2 linked regions of the Rattus norvegicus genome follow. The protein of the gene in region 2 binds, or shares a complex with, the protein of the main gene of each other region. Links are inferred from orthologs where the notes say so. Each region holds a gene or a part of one and is shown on either strand. Other genes may lie near its edges.

What was found. The genes of interacting proteins can lie anywhere in the genome.
Region 1: Eif4a3 (region 2) and Magohb share a complex: the UniProt entries of both Homo sapiens proteins name them as parts of the mRNA splicing-dependent exon junction complex. The link is inferred for Rattus norvegicus from reciprocal best matches to the Homo sapiens genes EIF4A3 and MAGOHB.

Annotation. Positions count from the first base shown.
Region 1 is NC_086022.1:166,767,077-166,778,087, forward strand, and holds the start of Magohb (protein mago nashi homolog 2), read right to left. Parts: upstream 6,265-11,011; coding exon 6,171-6,264; intron 3,501-6,170; exon of another isoform or gene 3,348-3,500; intron 3,196-3,347; coding exon 3,137-3,195; intron 2,250-3,136; coding exon 2,139-2,249; exon of another isoform or gene 2,128-2,138; intron 1-2,127. UniProt on the Homo sapiens protein: Required for pre-mRNA splicing as component of the spliceosome. Plays a redundant role with MAGOH in the exon junction complex and in the nonsense-mediated decay (NMD) pathway.
Region 2 is NC_086028.1:105,046,851-105,057,086, reverse strand, and holds the end of Eif4a3 (eukaryotic initiation factor 4A-III), read left to right. Parts: intron 1-1,360; coding exon 1,361-1,433; intron 1,434-2,795; coding exon 2,796-2,862; intron 2,863-3,343; coding exon 3,344-3,406; intron 3,407-4,144; coding exon 4,145-4,277; intron 4,278-4,460; coding exon 4,461-4,541; intron 4,542-5,074; coding exon 5,075-5,216; intron 5,217-5,454; coding exon 5,455-5,593; intron 5,594-5,995; coding exon 5,996-6,111; intron 6,112-8,900; coding exon 8,901-9,008; intron 9,009-9,088; coding exon 9,089-9,216; intron 9,217-9,309; coding exon 9,310-9,326; 3' UTR 9,327-9,520; downstream 9,521-10,236. UniProt on the Homo sapiens protein: ATP-dependent RNA helicase. Involved in pre-mRNA splicing as component of the spliceosome. Core component of the splicing-dependent multiprotein exon junction complex (EJC) deposited at splice junctions on mRNAs.

The DNA.
Region 1 (11,011 bases), on a different chromosome or scaffold from region 2:
GAGAATTGCTTAAGTCTAAAGCCAGCCTGCTTTACAGAGAAAGTTCCAGACTGGTCAGGGCTACACAGAAAAACTCTATCAAAAAACCAAAAGAAATTTACTTTGCTAACAGAATTCTCTTAATGTAACCTCACTGACTGTTCATGACCAATAGACTTAGTTTCTGGACCAACCCAGAACTGCTTTCCAGAGCAGTCATAAAAAAAGGGGCTCAAACAAAACAACACTGAAATGTTTCTTGTGATGCTGGTGAACATGAGAGCTGGCACATTAAAGCACAGTTTAGAAATGATTATTAATACAAATCCATTTAAAATATCACAAATGTATTTTCTCTTTATGTAAGTTTCTGCAGATATACGACACTAACAGAAGCTAAAGCTTTAGAGTCTGCCATGCATCGGGCCTGACTGCTAGGAGATTACGAGTATTCTCTGCAGTCCCTAAAACACCTTTACAACGTTATAGTCTTTACTAGCCTTCTATCACAAATGTTCAATCCTAAACTCACAAAGCACAGAACACACAAAGATATCAATAACCACAAGTAACACTGGCTCTCCATAGAGTAATGTGGCTACTTAGAGCCTAATCCCCTCTGAAACAGAATGAAAACTAGAACTTACATAACAATGCAACATAATCAATATAATCTAGTTACTCCAGGATGATTATCATCATACAAATTTTATCTGTACTACTTATCCAGAAATCTAAAGCTAGTGAAGGAGCTGCATATTAGTGCATTTTTACACTAAATTATCAACCAGATGCTATTAAAGACAGTCCCAGCTATTTAATCAAAAGGCCTAACTGTGCACTTCATGAGACACAGCCACCTGAGGATTAGCTAAGATTCTCTGCTAATCACAGCAGGCTTGGTTTAACTATCCGGCAGCAGTGTCTGGAGCACGCAGACTACTCCCTCACAGAGAACGCAAAGCTACTACACAGGAATGAGCACTGGCTCTCCCCAGATGAAAACATTTTTATACATACTCAACGTCCTCTGTCTCTGAATTTATTTTTCTAAAATTGATGTTCAGAAATGTTACTAAGGCAGAGATAAATGAAAAATAGCAACATTTTCTCATGTATATTACAAATCTACCCTCTGAAAGAGTATATCGCCTTATTAACACAGACAAATCTGCATATCACATCCTCCCTGTAGAAACAAGTTTAATAGTTTTAAAATGCCCTGCTGTTCTCTGTGGACACAGATGCCCAGTTACTCCTATGCAGTGGCCCTGTAACTCGGGTTCCCGCAGGACACAGACCACCGCCTCTGCTTCCTGATACGACGCTCTGCATGGAGTTCCTGCCACAGAACAGTTCCACCACTGCTCCTTTCAACATGTGCCAGGCTTCTCTACAGATCTTTCTTCTCGTCAAAAAGAGTGCCCGCCATATGTATAGTCCTCAGAACACACAAAAGTGACATTAGATGCTTAGTTCTTTCGACCTTGTATCTCATTTCTCTAAGAGTTGAAAAGTCCCAATTTAGAAACCAAACTGTCTATACAGAGTGAAATTGGGCCTGCCGAGTTCTTTGGGAGCACTTTGGAAACATCGATTATTCTGAGGGGGGTCTAAGAAGCAAACACAATGGTCCACTTGAGCAAAGAAATCCATCGGGTCTCTCTCTGCGGCTCTCAGATATATGAATGTTAAGACAAGAAATTGGAGAAAGTGAACTGCTACATTCAATGAGAATAACCATAACTCTCAAATTTAGCTAGCAATGATGGTGTATACATATTTATAGCAGAAATAACTAATAATAATAGCTAATTTATAATAAATAACTCATAAGTGTCAAAATGTCCAAGCTTGAGCTGTACAAGTTAGAGAAAAGATGTTACTGCCTAACTTTAGAGCTATGTGCTAATACCTTTAGTAAGTGGAGCTAGCAAGGAAAATGGAGCCAAGTAAGGGCTGTGAGGTGTAACTCAGAAGCATTTGCTTGCTGGGAATGTACAAACCTTGACTTCAATCTCCAATACCAAAATTAAAAAGTTTACAGAGAAAGTAAAGTTATATAATCAAAGTTTCAATTAAAAAAAAAAATCCTAAAAACACACTAAGTATATTACCAACTTTGACTCTATCCACTTAAAAACTCACAAGGCACAGACCTGCCGGCCAACCCTGTCAGGAGGCGGCCACAGAGCGTCGTCCTCCTTTGTAATTTCACTGTCGTCAATGATCCTTTTCAGTTCTTCCATTACACTCTTGTGGACATAAGCCTGAAAATCAGTTCAATAAAATCTGTAAATGCCCATCTGTTTGAATGTCCCACAGTTCAGCATGACAAAATAAAAGCAAGTCCTAACTAAATGTCCAAACACAATAGGCGTGAACAACTGAATTTGATCCCAAATCGTCCTTCTCACTACTGCTACTTTTTCTACACCGTGCTCTTTACAACACACTGTGCCGTCTTCCCACTCTAGCTTCTTTGAGGCTCCATATTCTTCTGGGGAAGCAGGGGCACCCAGGCAGCTTACAGTTACTGGGCCAGTATTAGGGCCATAGAGTAAGAGCACAATGCTCTCACACGTGAGCTGGCACTCAAAGGCCAGCCTGACTTCCACGCCTTTCATTTAAAATTTACACTTCATAAAATGAATTAAATGATATGGGGTTATAAGTATTAAGGGTGATTCTTTTGTTAAAAAAAAAAAACACTAAAATGAAAACCACCAAGATGACTTAGTGGGTAAAGGCAGCCGAGGAAAAAGTCCTGTGTTCTATCACTAGAACCCATATAGTAAGAGAAAACCAATTTCTACCAGCTGCATACAAACACAATAAAAAATTTTTTAAAAAAATGCTATAATCATATGTAATTAAAATAAAAACATTTCAATCTATAAATTGGTTTCTTGAAACAGACCTCTGAAATAACTTCAGGATAAATGAACAAGATATAAAAAAATAAACATGTAAACAGAAGTTAGCCAGAGGCAGGTGGATCTCTGAGTTCAAAGTCAGTCTAGTTGGCTTACACTGAGTTCCCCGACAGCCAGGGCTACAAAGTGAGACGCTGTCTCAAAAGAAAGGGAGAGAGAGAGAGAAAGAGAGAGAGAGAGAAAAGAGAGAGAGAGAGAGAGAGAGAGAAAATAGAACTTGCCTCTTTTCTGATCATCACATCATTTTTATAATTGCTGTTGTTGGCATATCTAAGCTTCCCTGTGTGGAGAGAAAGAGAACATCATGAGTAATTTTAAAGGTAAAGATAATTCCATAATCCCACTTTTATTAGTATATCTACTTTCCTCATGCAAGATCAATGCTAAATACTCAATTAAAAGCAGGCTAGTAATTTTTAAAATAATCCATACCTTCAACATAAAATGGGTCAGGTTTGTTAAGGTCTGTTTGCTTTCCTTCCTTCCTTCCTTCTTTCCTTCCTTCCTTTCTTTGAGACAAGATCTCAATGTGTAACGAGGTTGGCAGCCTTGAACAAACAGGGATCTATCCGTCTGCCTCGTTGCCTATGTTTGGGGATTAAAGTTGTGCACAGTAAACAGTTTATTTTCTTACCTAGCCCTGAGCACAAAGTGACTGTGTCTAACTACTAAGTATTCTCTTTAGTGTCATGTGAGTACCTAGTGCTGTTCTCACAATATTTCACCTGGTCTCTAAAGGAATTCTAAGAATGGGTTTCACTTTCTCACCTCTTCACAGGAGATAAAATCAAGGCAAGCAACTTACGCAGCGTCACACAGTCTCAAAAGGTCTGTTTTTGATCAACTCTTTCTCTATAGTTCCAAAAATGATCTCTCAATTCTTTCCCTTCATGTTAGTGTATATGGATAAGATAATGATTTTTTTTTAACTAGGAAGCATGCAAACGACATGAACTGCCAAGCCTGTTCGCTGACTTATTCAACCCATTCCTCACAAGCTCTGAAGCCCCTGGTGTGTGCTTCCCTGTCAGTCAGGTGCCCTGATACAGCTGCAATGTCTTTCTCATCTGCCAAACTGACAGATTCTGTGGTTCATGATTTTGCATGTGAGTCGAGCAATGCGGTGGCAGAGATGCATGAGGACCGACCTCTACTTAAGATTCCCCTGATACCGTGGGGTTCTTAATTCATGTGACTCAGGGCGATAAGGACAAGCTGGTGTTGTTCACAGGCAAGAGGAACAAGAACTGAATTACAAGAGGAATAAGTAAAAAAAAGCAGAGAAAATAAAAGAGTAAAAGACCAGGCCACGACATCAAAATTTGGAAAACAAGGTTGAAGTTATTAAGTTTCAAAATAACGGCAGGACACTGACTGCTATGCTGACTTCTTCCTAAACGCTCCAAACCTTTGGAATACATGATCCTTTCCTTACGTTTCAAAGAACCTTGTGCAAAACTTGCACAAAGCACTTAAATAAAATCCATACTATCCTATCGTAGGTTAAATGTTTATCTCCCAACTACCTTCGGCTTTGACATTTATATACTGCCGACTACACAATGAACATTCACAAATAAAAATTCTTGGTACAGGTAAGAATTGCCTTACACTACACAGGGGCTTCAACAAATCCCTGCTAATTCTGTTCTCTTCTGGGTTTTCTCTCATCCAGAAACCAAGAAGGTTCATTGTTTTTATCTCAATCAAGTATCTCATCTTCTAGAGGAAGGTTCTTTTTTGTAGGGGGAATCTTTGTGTTCGGGGGACAGGGTTTCTCTGTGTAGCTCTGGCTTTTCTGAAACTCCATCTGCCTGACTCTGCCTCCAGAATGCTAGGATTAAAGACTCAGGCAAAGCCTTTTTTGTTGTTGTTGTTTGGTTGGTTTTTTTTGTTTGTTTGTTTGTTTGTTTTTGTTTTTCAAGGTCTGATCATTTATTTCTTACTCTTAAACACTTATTGTTTACTGGACTAATACTCAAAATTAGAAGCTCCCATTGAGGACAGCCTACGTCTCTTAGAAATCTGTTCCAAGTATTTTTCTCTAGCTTCATTCTCTAGGTCAAAAGTTTAGCTCATTCTGTAGCTACTTTATTTTTCTTAGTGCATTGTTTCTTCAGAACAATACACTGGAGTTGGTGGTGTTCCAGGACATATGAAGTAACTAGATGTTTGGGTCTTGCGTGCTTTCTTCCTGGATTTCTTACAGTCTTTGTTCAAGGGCTTTTCAACGGTGCACGAGCAGACATCATCTTCTTTAGAGACACTGAAACACTTTAGGATTCTGCTAGCTCTTTGAGACCCAAGTACAGAGGGACAGGGGCTCAGTTCAGCAATATCATTTTTGTTTTTTAACAATAACCGGTGTACTCTGCACTGGGTCAAGAAGCCTTGCTTCATGGTAAAACCGTTTGTCATTCTCAGTCCTTTTTGTGATTGGGACCACACAACCCATCCATCCACTCTTCACCCAGAGCATCAGTAGCTACCTCTGTGGCCATTTGCTTCTCCGAGAAAGTACAAAGTTTGTATTCACTGTCCACCTGAAAGTGTTCTGACAGCTGGTGGCTAGGAAGGAGATATTCAGACTCATCTACACAGAGCTGACCAACTATCTAGAAGGCAGCACAAAAAGAGCTTCTGGGAGCATTCATTGACTCCCTTACCTTTGTCCATCATCCACTGGTGAAGAATTGTCTTTCAAACCTGACACATATCACACTCCCGTGTTCAGACACGGGGTTCCTCCCCTACAAAGCAGTCTTAACACAGATAGTGAATGAATGAGTAGGCCAAAAAGGCCACCTAAAGATTACAAGCATCCGCTAGAGTATGTGTCTTTTGATAATTCTGTTAACACTCCCGAAGCACAGGTTCTCTGCTCTTAAGTTTCCGATTCCTGTGTGTTCAATTTTTCTGACAGTGGCAAGATCCGCTTTTCTGAATTACTTTACAGCATTTTTTTTTCTCTTACAAGCACTGCGCAGGCGTGCTACACAAGCAAACTCTTCCAACATTGGTATGAAACCCTCCAAACCGGTTCTTCTGGAGTCTGGAGCGTTGTAACATGCCTGCCATCCCACTATCCCGAAGGCTGAAGCAAGAGAATCGTGAGTTCGAGGTCAGCCTGCACTACACAAGACCCTGACTCAAAACTAACAAGTACATTGAAATAAGAAAGGGAAAAAAAAAAAAAAAAACAGAAACCCATTCCCTGGGCGGCTCGCCCTCCCTCGCAGCCTCTCCGCCGCTCACCGTCCGGCCGAAACTCGAACTCCAGAAACTCGTGCCCAAACTTGCCCTTGTGCCCGACGTAGTACCGCAGGTAGAAATCACTAGCCAAAGCCATTTTTGCCCTCGGTAAAGCCCGGTATACCGCCGGTCCAACGTGCCGCCGGCGCGGAGTAGTGACGTCGCAGGCGCGGGCAAAGAGCGTCAACGAGGGCGCGCTTACTCCGGTAGGGAACGAAAGCCGGGAGAACTGAAGACAAAGCGAGAGACCCTCAGTTCTGAAGGTTTGCGCTGGAGCCGCTTCACCACAATCTCAAGCGCTTTGTTTTCTTTTTTTTTTTTTTTAAGATTTTTTATATGCTTCGATATTTATTTTTTAACTCTGACGGTTTTATACACGTATATGATGAATTTTAGTCGCCCCCACCACGTTACCTTCCACCATCCCTTCTCCTGCAGAACCGCTTTTACCAATAAGCCCTCCTGTGCTTTTACATCTCCTGTATGTCTGTGTTGAGGGGAGAATCACCGAGTTTTATAAAGATTGCTTGCATGAGCGCGATGGTTGGTACAAAGTCGCAGATTTCATTGTGGCATTGTATATTGTTTTGATTGAACCTCACTCCATACACCTCTCCCTCATATACTGTCTCCAATTCTTCTGTCCCAGTTATTCCCGCTGCACTTTCTTGTTAAATGCATCCTGTTACTCTTCCCACTCCATTTCTTTAACCAACCCGCAGTATCCTCTCAGGTTTAATAACCTATACTCACAAGCACATAAATACACGCATACAAAAGCTAAGATCCCTATACAAGATTTGCATTAATACTTCACGGTTACCTCACTTAACTATAATAATTGACAGATTTGTCCATTTTCCTGCATATTTCACAGTATTTTAGAAAAGAACAAATAGCTTGGGGTTTTCTTTGTTTGCTTCTAGTTATTTAAATGGGCTTGGGAGGAACATATGCAAACCATTTTTACTTTCTGGTTGCCCTATGGTATGGGTGTGTATTTTTCTGAGTTTTGAACTAAGGTTTACAAGCTGTACTTAGGGTGGGTATCTCTGATCTCCAAGCACATTGTAAAGTTGGGTGTGGCTCCACTTCCTGTAACTGGTGAAGTGAGTAAAGATACATTTCAGTGGCAACTGGATCACAATCTACCAGAGTCTCTTTGGATAATGCTTCACAGTATCCAGTGGCTAACAGCCTTGACTAAGACACAAAGTAAAATGTATCTCTCTGGTGGGGGGTTGATGTTCAAATAGCACATGAAACTGAAGAGTCCAGACAGTTATAAGAGTTTTTCATAGTGTAATACAACTTGTGAATCGGTAAGGATTAATAGTTTGTACCCTAGGTATTTGCAGGGATAGTTTAAGTTGGAGAAGTACGGAACATTCCAGTGTGGAATGGTCTTGGAGAGCACAAAAATGACAGTGAACTTGCACCCAGTGTCCACTCTTAAAGTCCTGGTTACCTTTCTGTTAGCACCACTGAGTAATCCTATTGGTGACTGATGGCCTTCTGTACTAATCCTAAGAAAAGGAGTTCAGTCTCAGTACTGTTCCCACCAAACCTTGGACAAGTCATTATCTCTGAACCTGTTTGATCATTAACTAACTAGACACAAGCGACCAACCGCCAAACACAGAACTCAGAAGATCAAATAACATGTGTGTGATATGCTTTGAAATCTAGGCGACATGGGTTTTAACGAGCCTTTCCTATGTGCCAGAGCAGATGGAAATTAGTAATAAAGCAATCACGACATTTACACCTTCGGAATAAAAGGAAAGCAAACATGTGAGGCAAAGGACAGCAAAGGGAAGCAATCAGTAAAAAGAATATATGCAATGGCCCAGCTCTGTATGAAAATGGCAAGTAGTTTTACTGGGGGTGGAGTTAGAAGATTATAAGCAAGGGGGGGGATTAAAGAGGACATAAAAATTGCTATTTGAGTTGACTTTTTTGATAAGTGCATTCTGTGACTGTCTAGCAGTATAGACAAGCATTTCAGACAAAGGATGCCACAAAGGAAAGCAGAGTGGTATGAATGTTTGTATTTGGAGAAAGCAAAAATAAACATTAAAAAAAAACTCACAATATCTGCACCTGAAATCAATAATTATACAGGGTTTGGGAAAGTGGAGTAACTGTCAAGGCACGTTGGAGCAGGTTCTCTTTCCTTTATGTAATTGTTAAATTTACTCCTGTAGCAGGGTGATAGGCTGCTACTTAGGAAAACACATTAGAAACCTGAATCACGACAACATACCAGAAGGATACCCAACCCTTCCAATTTGCCCAGGTTTGAGGAGTTTTTTCGGATGGGAAACTTCCAGTTTTAAAACCTAGAAGCCCCTGACTTATTACAAGAATAATTCACAGAAACTTGAGCAAAGTGTTGCATAGCATCTGTGAAAATATCAGCTAAAACCCCTTTCACCGAATTATACAAAAAGGAGTGTTCCATGGCCTTTGGTTCTCTGTGCATTTCCTTCAAATTTTTCACACATGTACCGCGTTCATCCTCCTATCTATCTAAATAGAACTATAGATGTCAGGATTTAAGTGTACTTACACGCAGTGTGGAATACACACAATATTAAGACTTTCCTAAGTTGGCCCATTATGTTCTTGGTCCTCTATCATGACCTATGAGTTCAGACATGTCCTCTGGAACTTATGTCTTTTTTTTTTAAAATAAAAAAGAGAACTGTATTTACCTGAACTTTCATATTATAGTCAAGATTGTACCAAAATTGGACCTTTTGAGATGGTAAACACCAGATACATGTGGGCAAGTGTTTTGTTATTAAGCTCTTAAATGTAGCTAATAATGTAGTGGGACTAAATGTAGCGGGACTGGGGAAACTTAATTTTGGGGAATTCTTAATTTTTGTTAACTTAAGTAAACATTTAAATATCACATGTGGCTAGTGTTTCTCATGTTGGTTAGCACAACTGTATAAGAGTTTCAGCTCTCTGTAATCAAAGCGAAGTAGTGAAAATATACTGTGCACATTTTCCTTTTTCCATTACTATAGTTGCCAAATTAGGGTGCAATTGGTCAGAGTTTACCTTTGAAAATAAATGTTTTTACATTACTCATGTGAAACCAAAGGACTGTTTCTGCTTTTGCCCACACTGTGGTCAACTTCACAGCACCTTGTGAAATTATTTTGACGTAGGTAGGAAACAAACCTTCCCGACTGTGATAGAAATTGAGGCTTGATGGTTTAATGCGCAATATTCGTTGATAATTTTTCCACACAAGTGTTTTATTTTTCCAGTTGTATGGTGATGTGTCAGTTTCTTTCATTTCCGGTTGTGTTTTGCTTTCTCATGTAGCCAAGCTGGCCTTAAATCCACGACCTTCTTGCGCTCACATCGAACGTGCTGGCACTACAACTGTGCACCACCACACTCCCCTTCTTAGATTTGGCTCTTCCTTAGAGTCATTAATATTTTAATTGCTCTGCTGGGTTTTTTTCCCTAGTTATAGAATTCTCTCCTTTTGAATTCTTCTTATCTGTCCTTTTATCTTGTCTATTTAAAGTGATCAAATCATTCCCTCTTCCAATATTCAGAAATGCTCTCTAACCATGTCCTAGTAAACACAACAGGTAATAAACTTATATATTCATTTTCTGTCTGTAATTTTTGTTGGTTTTATATACTTACAGAGCAAAATGTCAGAACTGTCTCTTTTAGTGAAATGAATCTATGTAGCAATACTAGTATGTAGTCTAATAGACCATCCTAACATTGGCACATTTTAAGAAGGAAAAGCCAAAGTGTAGTGATCTATTCCCATCCATTTCCATCTGCTTGCCTTTCCTTTTTATTCCCTCTTAGATTCCTTTATGGATTTCAGCCATGTCTTTTGCCACTTTATTTGAAAAGCATGTTAATGCTTTTCTGATAAATTCCCATGGTGCATAAACAGCAAACCCCCTTACACCACTGGTTATCAGGCAGGATCAGAGATTACCATGATGAAATAGAGTTAATTGTATTATTTACATCTAGAACTCTTAGAGTATGTTAGAGTATCCTATGATTTAAATAATACAGCATAACTTGTAACATACATAGAAACAAACAAACATAATCTATAAATTAAAGACTATAGGCTATCCACTGGTATTCTACATGGTTCATTGGGTATGATAAAGCGTTTTCTAAATTGTTATAATAAGTTTGAGAAAGTTCCCTTAATGTACACTAATAATTTGATCAACCTATTTTAATCTTCATTTAAAATGAAGAAAATGGAGCTGGAAAGATTGCTCAGTGGTTAAGGCTACCTGAAGAGGACCTGAGTTTGGTTCTCAGCAGCTATGTCAGACAACTCACAAACAAGAGGAACTCCAGCCCCAGGGAATGCAATGCCACCTTCTGGCCTTCCAGGTACCTGTATCCACATGCACATACCCAAGTAAGGAAAGGCAAACCACCCTCTCTTTCATCATGTGTCTCCTCCTCTTTAACACACATGCTGCAACCCGGTAGACTGCCGTTCAGTCCCCCATCTATGTACTGTCTTTTCTAGTTATTATGGTTTTGTTTATATATGGATGTTTTAGTATGTATGTGTTCAGTGCATGGCAAATCTGTTAAGAGTGTACTATATGGAGATCATAGGATAACTTTAGGCATTCATCCTTGCCGTCCACCTTGTTTGGCCTGGGTCTTCTATTGTTGACTACTGAGTATGCCAGGTAGACAGATTGAAATCTCCTGAGGATTCCTGTGTCCACTTCCCATCTTATGAAAGATATGCTGGTGTTACAGATGTGTGCTGACACATCTTTTACATGGATTCTAGAAATACAAATTCCACTCTGCAA
Region 2 (10,236 bases):
GCGGGAAATACGAAGCAAGGGTGCTTCAAGCGGTGAGAATTGGGAAAACAAGAGAATGAGCGACTGGATAGAGTAGATAGATTGATAACGGTGAGTTAAAAGAGCCGAAAGAGAGCTCCCAGAGGCGTTCAGAATCCCCAGGGGAGAGGGAACAACTGGTCCTGGCTTCTTGAAGCCATTGCCTGACGAGTGCCAGGAACATAAGAAAGAAACCCCTCGTCATGTTTTAAAGGCATGAGTAAAGAATTTGAGATTCACTCCTAAATACAGCGGGGAGCCAGCCACCGCAGAGTTCTGAGCAGAATCGATAGGATCAGGCTTACCGTTTGAAAGTTTATTTTGGTGTCTGGATTTGGAGTTAGAAGAGGAGGCGGGGTGATGGCCGGACCATAGGAGAGATGGGGATGTTATTGTGGAGCTAAAGGATCTGCTGGCAGCAGATGCAGTGCATTCCTGGCTTTTTTGAGTGAATGGTGGGTCATGCTGTTGGTATTTGCTTAGGAGCATTTGAGGGAGGCCGAATGAACTCTTTTTGTTTCTGCTTTCTTTGTTGTTTTGCTTTTTGTTTTGTTTTGTTTTGTTTCTCCATGTACCCCTGGCTGTCCTGTAACTCTTAGTAGACCAAACTGGGCCTCTAACTCAGAGATCCCCTGCCTCTGCCTCCCAGATGCTGGGATTAAAGGTGTGCGTCACCAAGATGTTTAACAACATCTTTTCTTATAAATCCTATCTGCTTATTTGGAAAATACTTGTGTTTTCATTGTTTGTTTTGTTTTAAGACACAGTCTCTCTACCTAGTTCTGGCTGGTCTGGAACTCATTCTGTGAACCAGGTGGCCTGGAATTCACAGAGATCCCCCTGCTCAGCTTCTCCTGCTGGGATTAAGGGAGTGCACAGCCTTGTCCAGTCTTTCATACTGTTCTCCTTGCTAGTAGTGATGGCCCAGCAGGTGGGTGGTCCCTTGATGATGGGCCTTCGTGCAAACAGGAGAGCAGCACAGGGCGTCTCCCCATGCCTGTGCAGGCTCAGTACTCGGGAGACACCACCAGCTGGGGTTTGAGTGCTTGGTAGCAGGAAAGGGCAGCAACTGCAGTGCTTCTGGGTTTGTGCTTTTGCTTGTAGAGCGGGTTTGGTGTGGCTTAGACTGGCCTTGAACTCCTGATGCTCCTGCCTCTGCCCTCCAAGTGTTGGTGTAGTGGGTAGCATCTTGACAGGTAGTCCTGTAGGCTGGTCTGTGAAGATGTGCTCAGCTCTGCCTGTGTTGCCTGGGATTGGCAGGAAGGAGCAAGTGTGTGTTCCCCAGGTAGTTCATGCCGTCACAGTCCTGGGGAGTTACAGTGTTTCCTCTTTGCATTTCTAGGTTTTGAAAAACCTTCTGCGATCCAACAGCGTGCTATCAAGCAGATAATTAAAGGGAGAGATGTCATTGCACAGTAAGTTGTGGGCGCTGAGAGCGAGTTGGGTCCTCGGGGAGAGCTGTGGGGAGCTGAGCCTGCCTTATTTATTTATGCCGACTTGTTTTTGGATGTGTATTCTGGGTCCTATGGAGGTCATTGCACACACTACGCTGATGTAGCCCTAGGTCCTGAATGTAGATCTATGGATTTGTGTAAAGTACTTTTTCATTAGCTTTCTTTTCTTTTTCCTTTGAGACAGGGTTTCTCTGTAGACCAGGCTGGCCTCCAACTCAGAATTCTGGCTGCTATTTGGATTAAAGGTGCATGCTAGGTACAGAGCCCAGGGCCTTCTCTACTACTGAACTATAAATGACCAGTTATCCTTTACATCATACTTCAGACTTTAGGAGCTGGTGCATTAAAGGGAGAGGTCCCCTTTCTGCCTCCTTTGGGAAGTTCTTGTTGGCGTTGCAGTTTCTTAGTTCTGGTGTCCTGGTGTAGAAGCCCCACATCCATTCTGTCTGTAGCAGTTTGTCTCTCTGGGAGCTGTGGAGATCGCTCGCTCTGTTCCCAAGTTCAGTTCTTGGTACCCACACTGAGTGGCTCAGAGCTGCCTATAACTGCAGCCTCAGGTCCAGCATCCTCTTCCCGGCTTTGAAAGAAGTTTCACACATGTTCAGTCACACAGATAAGTAAAGGTGAAAAATAAGAATAAGAAGTGACCTTGTACTTTGGTCTCCCACTGTTGGAGTTAAGATGTTTGGGAGAGTGTGAGATTAATTCATGGAGTTTCTATGTCCTCCTTGTTCTCAGATAACTGCTGGTGTTTCTAAGCCTGCTCTAGCCTGGTGTTTTATTAACAAGCCGTAAAGCTTAAGCTGGCCAGGTTCTGAGACTCTCACCTGACTAGGCTGCTGACACCGGACACATGCCCTGTCACCTGCTGTCTGCTCTGGTCCATGTCTCTCCTCATGGTTTCTCTATACCTTCTCCCTGTGGTTTCCTCACTTCCTCCATTCCCCCTCCCCTCCTCTGGTGTCTGGGCACCCCTGCTTCTCTTCTGTTGAGCTAAACAATGAGCTCCTTCCTGAACCAGTCGGGAGGTGACGGAGTTTACAAAGCACTGAGATGGGTGATACTTCATGAACATAAGTCACCAAGCCTGGCCTGCACTCAGCTCTGCCTGCACAGAACCCAGCATCTGACTAATGCTAGGAACCTTTACAGTGCACAAACCCACCCTCCAACAGGGCAGGAGCAGGGGCTCCTAGTAAGAAGCTGCTGCACATGTCTGCAGCCAGGCCTTTGGAGGGAGCACTGCTGTGGGCTGGGGTCCCTAGAACAGGGGCAGTGTCAGATGCTCTTTCTCTGATAACTACCTTGTGCTTTCTTAAACAGGTCTCAGTCTGGCACAGGCAAGACGGCCACCTTCAGTATTTCAGTCCTTCAGTGCTTGGATATCCAGGTGATTTGCCACTCGCAGCAAATGCTCTTTAATGCCAATGCTGTGTGTACTGAGTGCAGGTTTTAGATGGGGTGTGGTTGACCTTCACAGGAGAGCCCTGACTGTCAGCGCTCTTGCTGGCCTTCAAATTTAGTGTCTCCTGAGGCTGGTTAGGAAAGAGCAGCGAGCTAACCCAAGCTAGTGTTTATAGTAGGTCCCAGTGCTTGTTAGCAAGCCGTGCGAGTGACACTGAGACTGATGGCTGACAGGCTCAGGGCAGGAAGCTGGACTTGGACAGATATCAGGTTCCCTCTCATCCAGAATCTAGTTTTTTTTTTTTTTTTTTTTTAATTTTTCAAAGAGGATTTGAAAGTAGAGATGGGACCGTTTGGGAAGAGATAGGGAAGGGGTAAGAGAATGAGAGTGACTGTGGACATGTCATAGGAAAACCTGTCCATTCCTCTGTACAATCTCATGACATTTCTTTTCTCTAACTCACTAGGTTCGAGAAACCCAAGCTTTGATATTGGCTCCAACAAGAGAGTTAGCAGTGCAGATTCAGAAGGTGAGACAGTCGGAGATGGTGTGCCAGGCTGGTGCCGCCCTGTGACAGTGCTGCTGTCCCCACGTGTGAGGCCCATCAATCCCTGAGCAGCAGTAGAGAGTGCCGCTGTGTTTGCACGTGTCGTTGTATGGAAGGGAGGTGATTTCTGTTTTGCTGGGGGTCCACACGGCGATGGAGCGGGTGAAGGTGCTGTGGCTCACACCTGAGTGCACCTCCCAGAATCCTTGTAAAGGTGGAGGGAACGCTGACCCCCGCTGTCCTCCCACCCACACTTTCCTTCTTCGTTTTTGGTTTTGACAACACAAGAAGCAGGAACCGAGCTGTGTGTGCCTGGCAACCTGTTGTCTGACTCGCTGGTGGTTCTTACCTGGTCTCTGCTCTCCTGGTGTAGCCATGGTCCTAGGAATGTGGCACAGCGGTACTTGGCTCTGCCGAAGTACACAAGGCCCTGGTTCCTTCCTCACAGGAAAATGAAGTTCATTTTAATCAAATAATGACTTTCCTTCTAGTCTTGGAGGGATATGTATTGGGATGTTAATACGGTATGATTATCAACTGTGATTTTTCCCACACTTGGTTTGCACCCCTTCAGTATCAGGAAACCCTAAATTGAATTTCCTTTTGACAGAGGAAAGAGCTTAAGTGAGTGAGTGGTAGGTGGTGTCTCCCATTAAAGTAGAGATGACCCTTGAGATGTGTCTGACTGCGGGCCTCTCATGGAAACCTATTTTGCTTCAGGGTCTGCTTGCTTTGGGGGATTACATGAACGTGCAGTGCCATGCCTGCATTGGTGGCACCAATGTCGGGGAGGACATCCGGAAGCTGGACTATGGGCAGCATGTTGTGGCGGGCACACCAGGACGAGTCTTTGGTGAGTGCTTCTCTTGTTGAGACCTGGGCTGTGGGTGGTGTTTATGAGGTGTGCTCAAAGGACGTGGCAGTTCAGTTGTATACACCACATGGTGGGACAGCTTCTGAGGGCTCTGGGGACCAGTGGGAGTGGCTAGCTCTTTCCTTAGACCCACATGTGATTCTTTCAAAATCTAATTGCCAGATATGATCCGCCGTAGAAGTTTAAGGACACGGGCAATCAAGATGTTGGTTTTGGATGAAGCTGATGAAATGTTGAACAAAGGTAAGGGGACCAGAATTTTCTAGTAACATACTGTTAGGTGTGTGTGACAGTCCTTACTTTTTGCAGAAGCAGTGTGTCTTGTGGGTTTTTTTTTTTTTTTAATTATTTATTGGTTTTATGAGTATGAGTACACTGTCGCTGTCTTCAGACACACCAGAAGAGGGCATCAGATCCCATCACAGATGGTTGTGAGCCACCATGTGGTTGCTGGGAATTGAACTCAGGACCTCTGGAAGAGCAGTCGTGCTCTTAACCGCTGAGCCATCTCTCCAGCCCGTCTTGTGGGGTTTTGAACCTGAAACTTTTATTGTAATGTTTTTGTGGTTTTGTTAATGTTTTTGAGACCAGTCCTAGCTGGGGTGACAGTGTCTTCTTATTGTCTGGTTTGGCACTGCACATGGCCTGGGTCAGGGTTCAGGTGTTCACATGCGCACCTGTGAACTCGCTCTGACCACCGACTTCTCTGAAGTCCCTCTGTGTGGCTCTCAGTGACAGCCTGAAAGCCAACGCCGAGCTCACCACATCTGCTGCAGGTTTCAAGGAGCAGATCTATGACGTGTACAGGTACTTGCCACCAGCCACTCAGGTTGTTCTCATCAGCGCCACGCTGCCCCATGAGATCCTGGAGATGACCAACAAGTTCATGACCGACCCCATCCGCATCTTGGTGAAGCGGTAAGGATGCATCCCTTCATTCCCTGGGTGGAAGCCAGGTTTAATGATCTCTACCCTCTTCCATTTCTAAGCCTGAGCTGTGTGCTCCGTGGGGTTCTGTGGTCTGCGGAGGGAGAGGAACCCAAGGGACCGAGAACTGGAAAGGTCTAAAGCCAGCTGGGTAGAGGAGGGCTGGGGGCTCAGCGTGGCCCTGTCCCTCGGATTCTGGGTTGGAGAGTGACGTGAGCTCTGTTCTCAGTGATGAGTTGACTCTGGAAGGCATCAAACAGTTCTTCGTGGCCGTGGAAAGAGAGGAATGGAAGTTCGACACTCTCTGTGATCTCTACGACACGCTGACCATCACCCAGGCTGTCATCTTCTGCAACACCAAGAGGAAGGTGCGCTGCTCTGCACTGTGTCGGTCTTGGGGAGCTGCAGGCTGGGTGTCCTGTCTGTCAGAGGCCCAGGGTGTGGCTTGGGCTTGGGTTCCTGTTAATTCAGCTGTGGCCGGTGCGTTAGATGGAAACGCTGAGATTTGGCAGTGGGGGAACTGCTGGGGCCTCTGAGCAGGGAGGTCACAGAAGGTCTGCGTCTAGGACAGAAGGGGGTTACCGACACGGGTCTTATGTCATCATTTGGATGCCTTTGGTTTAAGCTGGGTTGAAGTGGTGTCTGCTGGCAGAGTCTGCGAGAGTTGGTGGGGGAGTTTCCTCTGCGACTCTGTAAATCTGCTGTTGAGAGCTGCCATTGTACAGGTCTCTGGATGGGTGGATGAGCACCTCTTTTGTTCTGATCTGTAGGTTGACTGGCTGACAGAGAAAATGAGAGAAGCCAATTTCACAGTGTCGTCCATGCACGGAGACATGCCCCAGAAAGAGCGTGAGTCCATCATGAAGGAGTTCCGGTCAGGTGCCAGGTAGGCCTTGCAGCTTTGGCTCCTGTGGGAGGACGGATGGCACTGCCCTCAGGGCCCAGGTGCAGGGGCTGATGCTGCTCTCTGAGAGGACGCTGTCCCGTGCGGGCTGTTGGGTTGGTGGTGAACCGCTGCTAGCATTGGTTTATTGTATTCACGCTAGTTTCTGTTCAACTTCTGGTGATCAGGTATTGGATCGGCAGTCACAGTGCTCAGAGAACAGGCCTCGAGAGTCTGTCTTTGATTCAGGCCTGTTGTGATTCCCTGGGGACACACTTGGCGTGTGTGTGTGTGTGTGTGTGTGTGTGTGTCTGTCTGTCCTTCAACAAGAGATGCCCAGCTAGACTGGAGCTGATAGCCTGTGATAGCCCTCTGCTTGCTGGGATCCCTCCCTCTCATAGTCAGTTCTCTGTGACTGAGTAGGTGAGGCGCCCGTCCTATGTTTCCCTGTGGCTGTAGGGTTGAATGTGCTGTGTAGAGTGTGTGGAGGTCGGGGACCAATGTGGAATGCAGCTCTCTCTTCACCATGTTGGTCCCAGGGATTGAACTTGGGCTGTCAGGCTTGGCATTAAGCTCCCTGACTAAGTAAACGACTGAGCCAGGTCACTGGCCTGTCTTCTGATGCTGGCTGTATCCGTCCTCACCTTGGATATGGGTGTGCAGTTACAGTTTTTCTTTGGAGACTTGAACCTGCCCTTGGTGTCCTGAAGCCTGGCTGACAACTTTTGCCTGTGAGCCTGGGCAGGGCTCATCCTTCTGCTTTTTTTTTTTTTTTTTTTAAATAATGTTTCTCAGAGAAGTCAGAATTGAGTTTGGTTTGTCAGCACTCTGATGATTGTTCTCTCCCTCTCTGGTTTTGGTTTGGTTTGGTGTTAGGGTGCTTGTCTGCTTGGCTTTGTGTTTCCCTGTGTAGCCGTGGCTGTCCTGGAACACCATCCATAGACCAGGCTTGAACTCGGAGATCCACCTGCTCTGCCTCCTGGGTGCTGGCATTAAAGGCTCGAGCTGCCGCCACCACCTGCGTTTCTGTTTGGTTTTAGAGTTTGAGACAGGTGCTCGCTTCGGCAGCACATATACTAAAATTGGAACGATATAGAGTTTGAGACAGGGTTTGTCTGTGCAGTTCAGGGTTTATGATCTCCTGTCTCCACTGGAGTATAGGAGTCACAGAAGTGGACCATTCAGAGCAGTTTATTACATGTATGTACTGATCTTAGAAGTGAATTTTCCCTCTGTTTTTCTTTCCTTTGTTTTTTTGTTTGTTTTTTGTGTGTGGTTTTTCAAGACAGGGTTTCTCTGTGTAACAGACCCCTGACTATCCTGTACTGGATAGTCTGCTGTTTGTAGACTAGGCTGTCCTCAAACTCACAAAGATCTGCCTGCCTCTGTTTCCCGAATGTTGGGATTAAAGACGTGTGCTACCATGTCTGACTTAATTTTTTATTTTTTTAAACTATTTTCCTTCTCTTTAATGTATTTTAAAAATTTTATGTTATTTAGTACCTACCTGGAGATGCTAGCATCTGTTATCAGAGCTACGTTCCTGTCTTTGCAGACGGTACAAGGACCTAGATTTGTTTCATGCCTGTTAAACCATGTGTGCTTTCTCTCTCTCTCTCTCTCTCTCTCTCTCTCTCACACACACACACACACACACACACTTCAGTGCTGGAGATTAACGTATGTTTTAGTTTGCAGTGTCATTGTGCTTTATAGGGTAGGGTTTATTTATTTAGATTTATACATGTTTAACCTGCCTTTCTTCATCTCTGAATCTGAGACATGTTCAAGTTAGTTTGGGTCTGAGGATGAGCGTCCTGCTTCAATCTGTCTGGAAGTGTTTCCTTCACCTCAGAGTGTCAAGGAGAGGTGAAGGGGATGCTGCTACGATGACCCACCATGCCCAGTAGTTACCTTCTGCCTCGATGAGGTGAGGGTCTGCCAGCTGTTGGCCCCTCATTCTGAGGCCTCAGTTCCCAATCCAGTTGCTCTTTTAAGCAGCTCCTGCCTGTAGGCTTCTCTGCTTTTCTTCTGGTTTTGGTTTCAGCAGTTGGTCTCGGCTGACTCTAGGTGAAACCTTTTGTGTCCTTTTGCCATCTGTGACCATTTGGAGCCCTGACCTGCTTGTCTCACACTGCTCTGGCCTTTTCCCTTCCTCCTGGGTCGGTTGCGATGCTACACAAAGTCAGGGAAGTAGGTGCTCACGCATGCGTACCTCTGGAGACTTCTGGGATTCTCCTTCCCCTAACTTGCAGTGGAAACAGGAGTCCAGCTCCTTTCTAGTAACCGTGGCAGTAGGGGAAGCAAGCAGGTGGTTTCTAGCTCACTGTCAGTGTGACACCATTTCAGGAGTGTAACCGTCTTGTGTTCTTACACTGCTTTCTAGCCCCGTATCCTTGCACACCTAGCGTGTCTGTTAGGACCAGGCATGTTTCAGATGGGTGGCATCATCATGACTGTGTCCTCTGTGGCAGTTGACACCACTTGCTCAGAGCATCTGCTATAGTGTGGGAGGGGTATGGGTTGAAATGGGGTCATCAGTAGTAGGCTCCTGTTCTTAATGGGGTTTTTGCTAAGCAGACGTCGTGTTTTCCTGGAGGTACTGTCTTTAAACAAATGAACTCTAAAAGACCCTCAGCTGTGGTCTTGTCAGCCCACGTCTGATTGCAGCAGGTTTTCCAGTGGCCTGCAGGTGACGTGAGCACTGGTGTGCTGCTCACACTGCAGAGGCCGCTCTGCTCACACTGCAGAGGCCGCTCTGCTCCCTCTCACCTTTGCCTTTTATTCTGCAGCCGAGTGCTCATCTCCACAGATGTCTGGGCGCGGGGCCTCGATGTCCCTCAGGTGTCCCTCATCATTAACTATGACCTGCCCAACAACAGAGAACTGTACATTCACAGGTGTGTGCTTCCTTCCCTTGCTCACACCCTGGACCCTCGTGTGTGTGACTGCTTACTAACACCTATATTTTAATCAAAAGAATCGGGAGATCAGGTCGATATGGACGCAAAGGTGTGGCCATCAATTTTGTGAAGAATGATGACATCCGCATCCTCAGGGACATTGAGCAGTACTACTCCACCCAGATAGATGAGATGCCTATGAATGGCAAGTTGTTGGCTGTACTGGTGGCTGTGGGTGGGGCTCCCTTACTAGGGTTAGGGAGGTGACATATTAACAAGTGTCTGTCTTCCCCTTCAGTGGCTGACCTCATCTGAAGCTGGTGCTGGTACACCAAGGGCCTGTTTGGAGCTCCTCTTTGGACATGGAAGCTTCTATTTAATGGGGTTTATATGAACTGTCTTCTCATAGCCCTCAGGAGGACCCTCGGCCTCTGCCATCTTTTCTAATGCACGTGTAAATAATCCAATGCGCTAAATCTTTTACATTAAACATGGAAATTTTCCCACGACTTAGAGTGCAGAGTTCTTGTGTCACCAGCTTTCCTGGTCTGGTCATGAACAGACCACTTCTTTCCCTACCTTCACATGTGCAGGATCTAGTTTAAGACGTGAAACAGCCCGGCAACAGAGTCCATAGAAGAAGTCAGGAGAAAGTAGTGACTACAGGCTGGGCAAAGGTCTCGACTTGAAGATGGTGGAGAAGGAGCTTGGATGCGGACTGCATCCACAGAGGACAGAGTAGCAAAGGGAAGCACAAACTGGGAGTGGGGAGGTGCATGTGACAGGGCCATGGAGTTTATGAGTTACCTGGTGAACCTGATCCTGCAATGGCACTCAGCCAAGCCTTGGGGATGGAGAGGTCACCCTGGAGTTTATGCACTCACATCCGGTGAGGGTTGGAGCTTTGGCTGCATGAGATTAGGGGACGGTACCAGGTAAGACATGCTGAGGAGACCAGGCTGAGGAGAGGGAGGAAGACCTGGAGGAGCCTTGAAGATGAGGGTTGACCTCAGTCAGCAGGGGACAACACTTAAACCATAGCTGATTCTGCCAACAGCCCGTGAGCAGAACAGACAACAGCCTCTAACACCCTGACTTCAGCCAAGTTTGTGTTTTGGACCCGTAGAACTGTGGCAGAGTTCATCTGTGTGATTTAAAGCCACTAATGCTGTCGTAATGAGTTGTGCCACTGATAGTAAGTCAGCATTGTATAAAAACAGCTCAG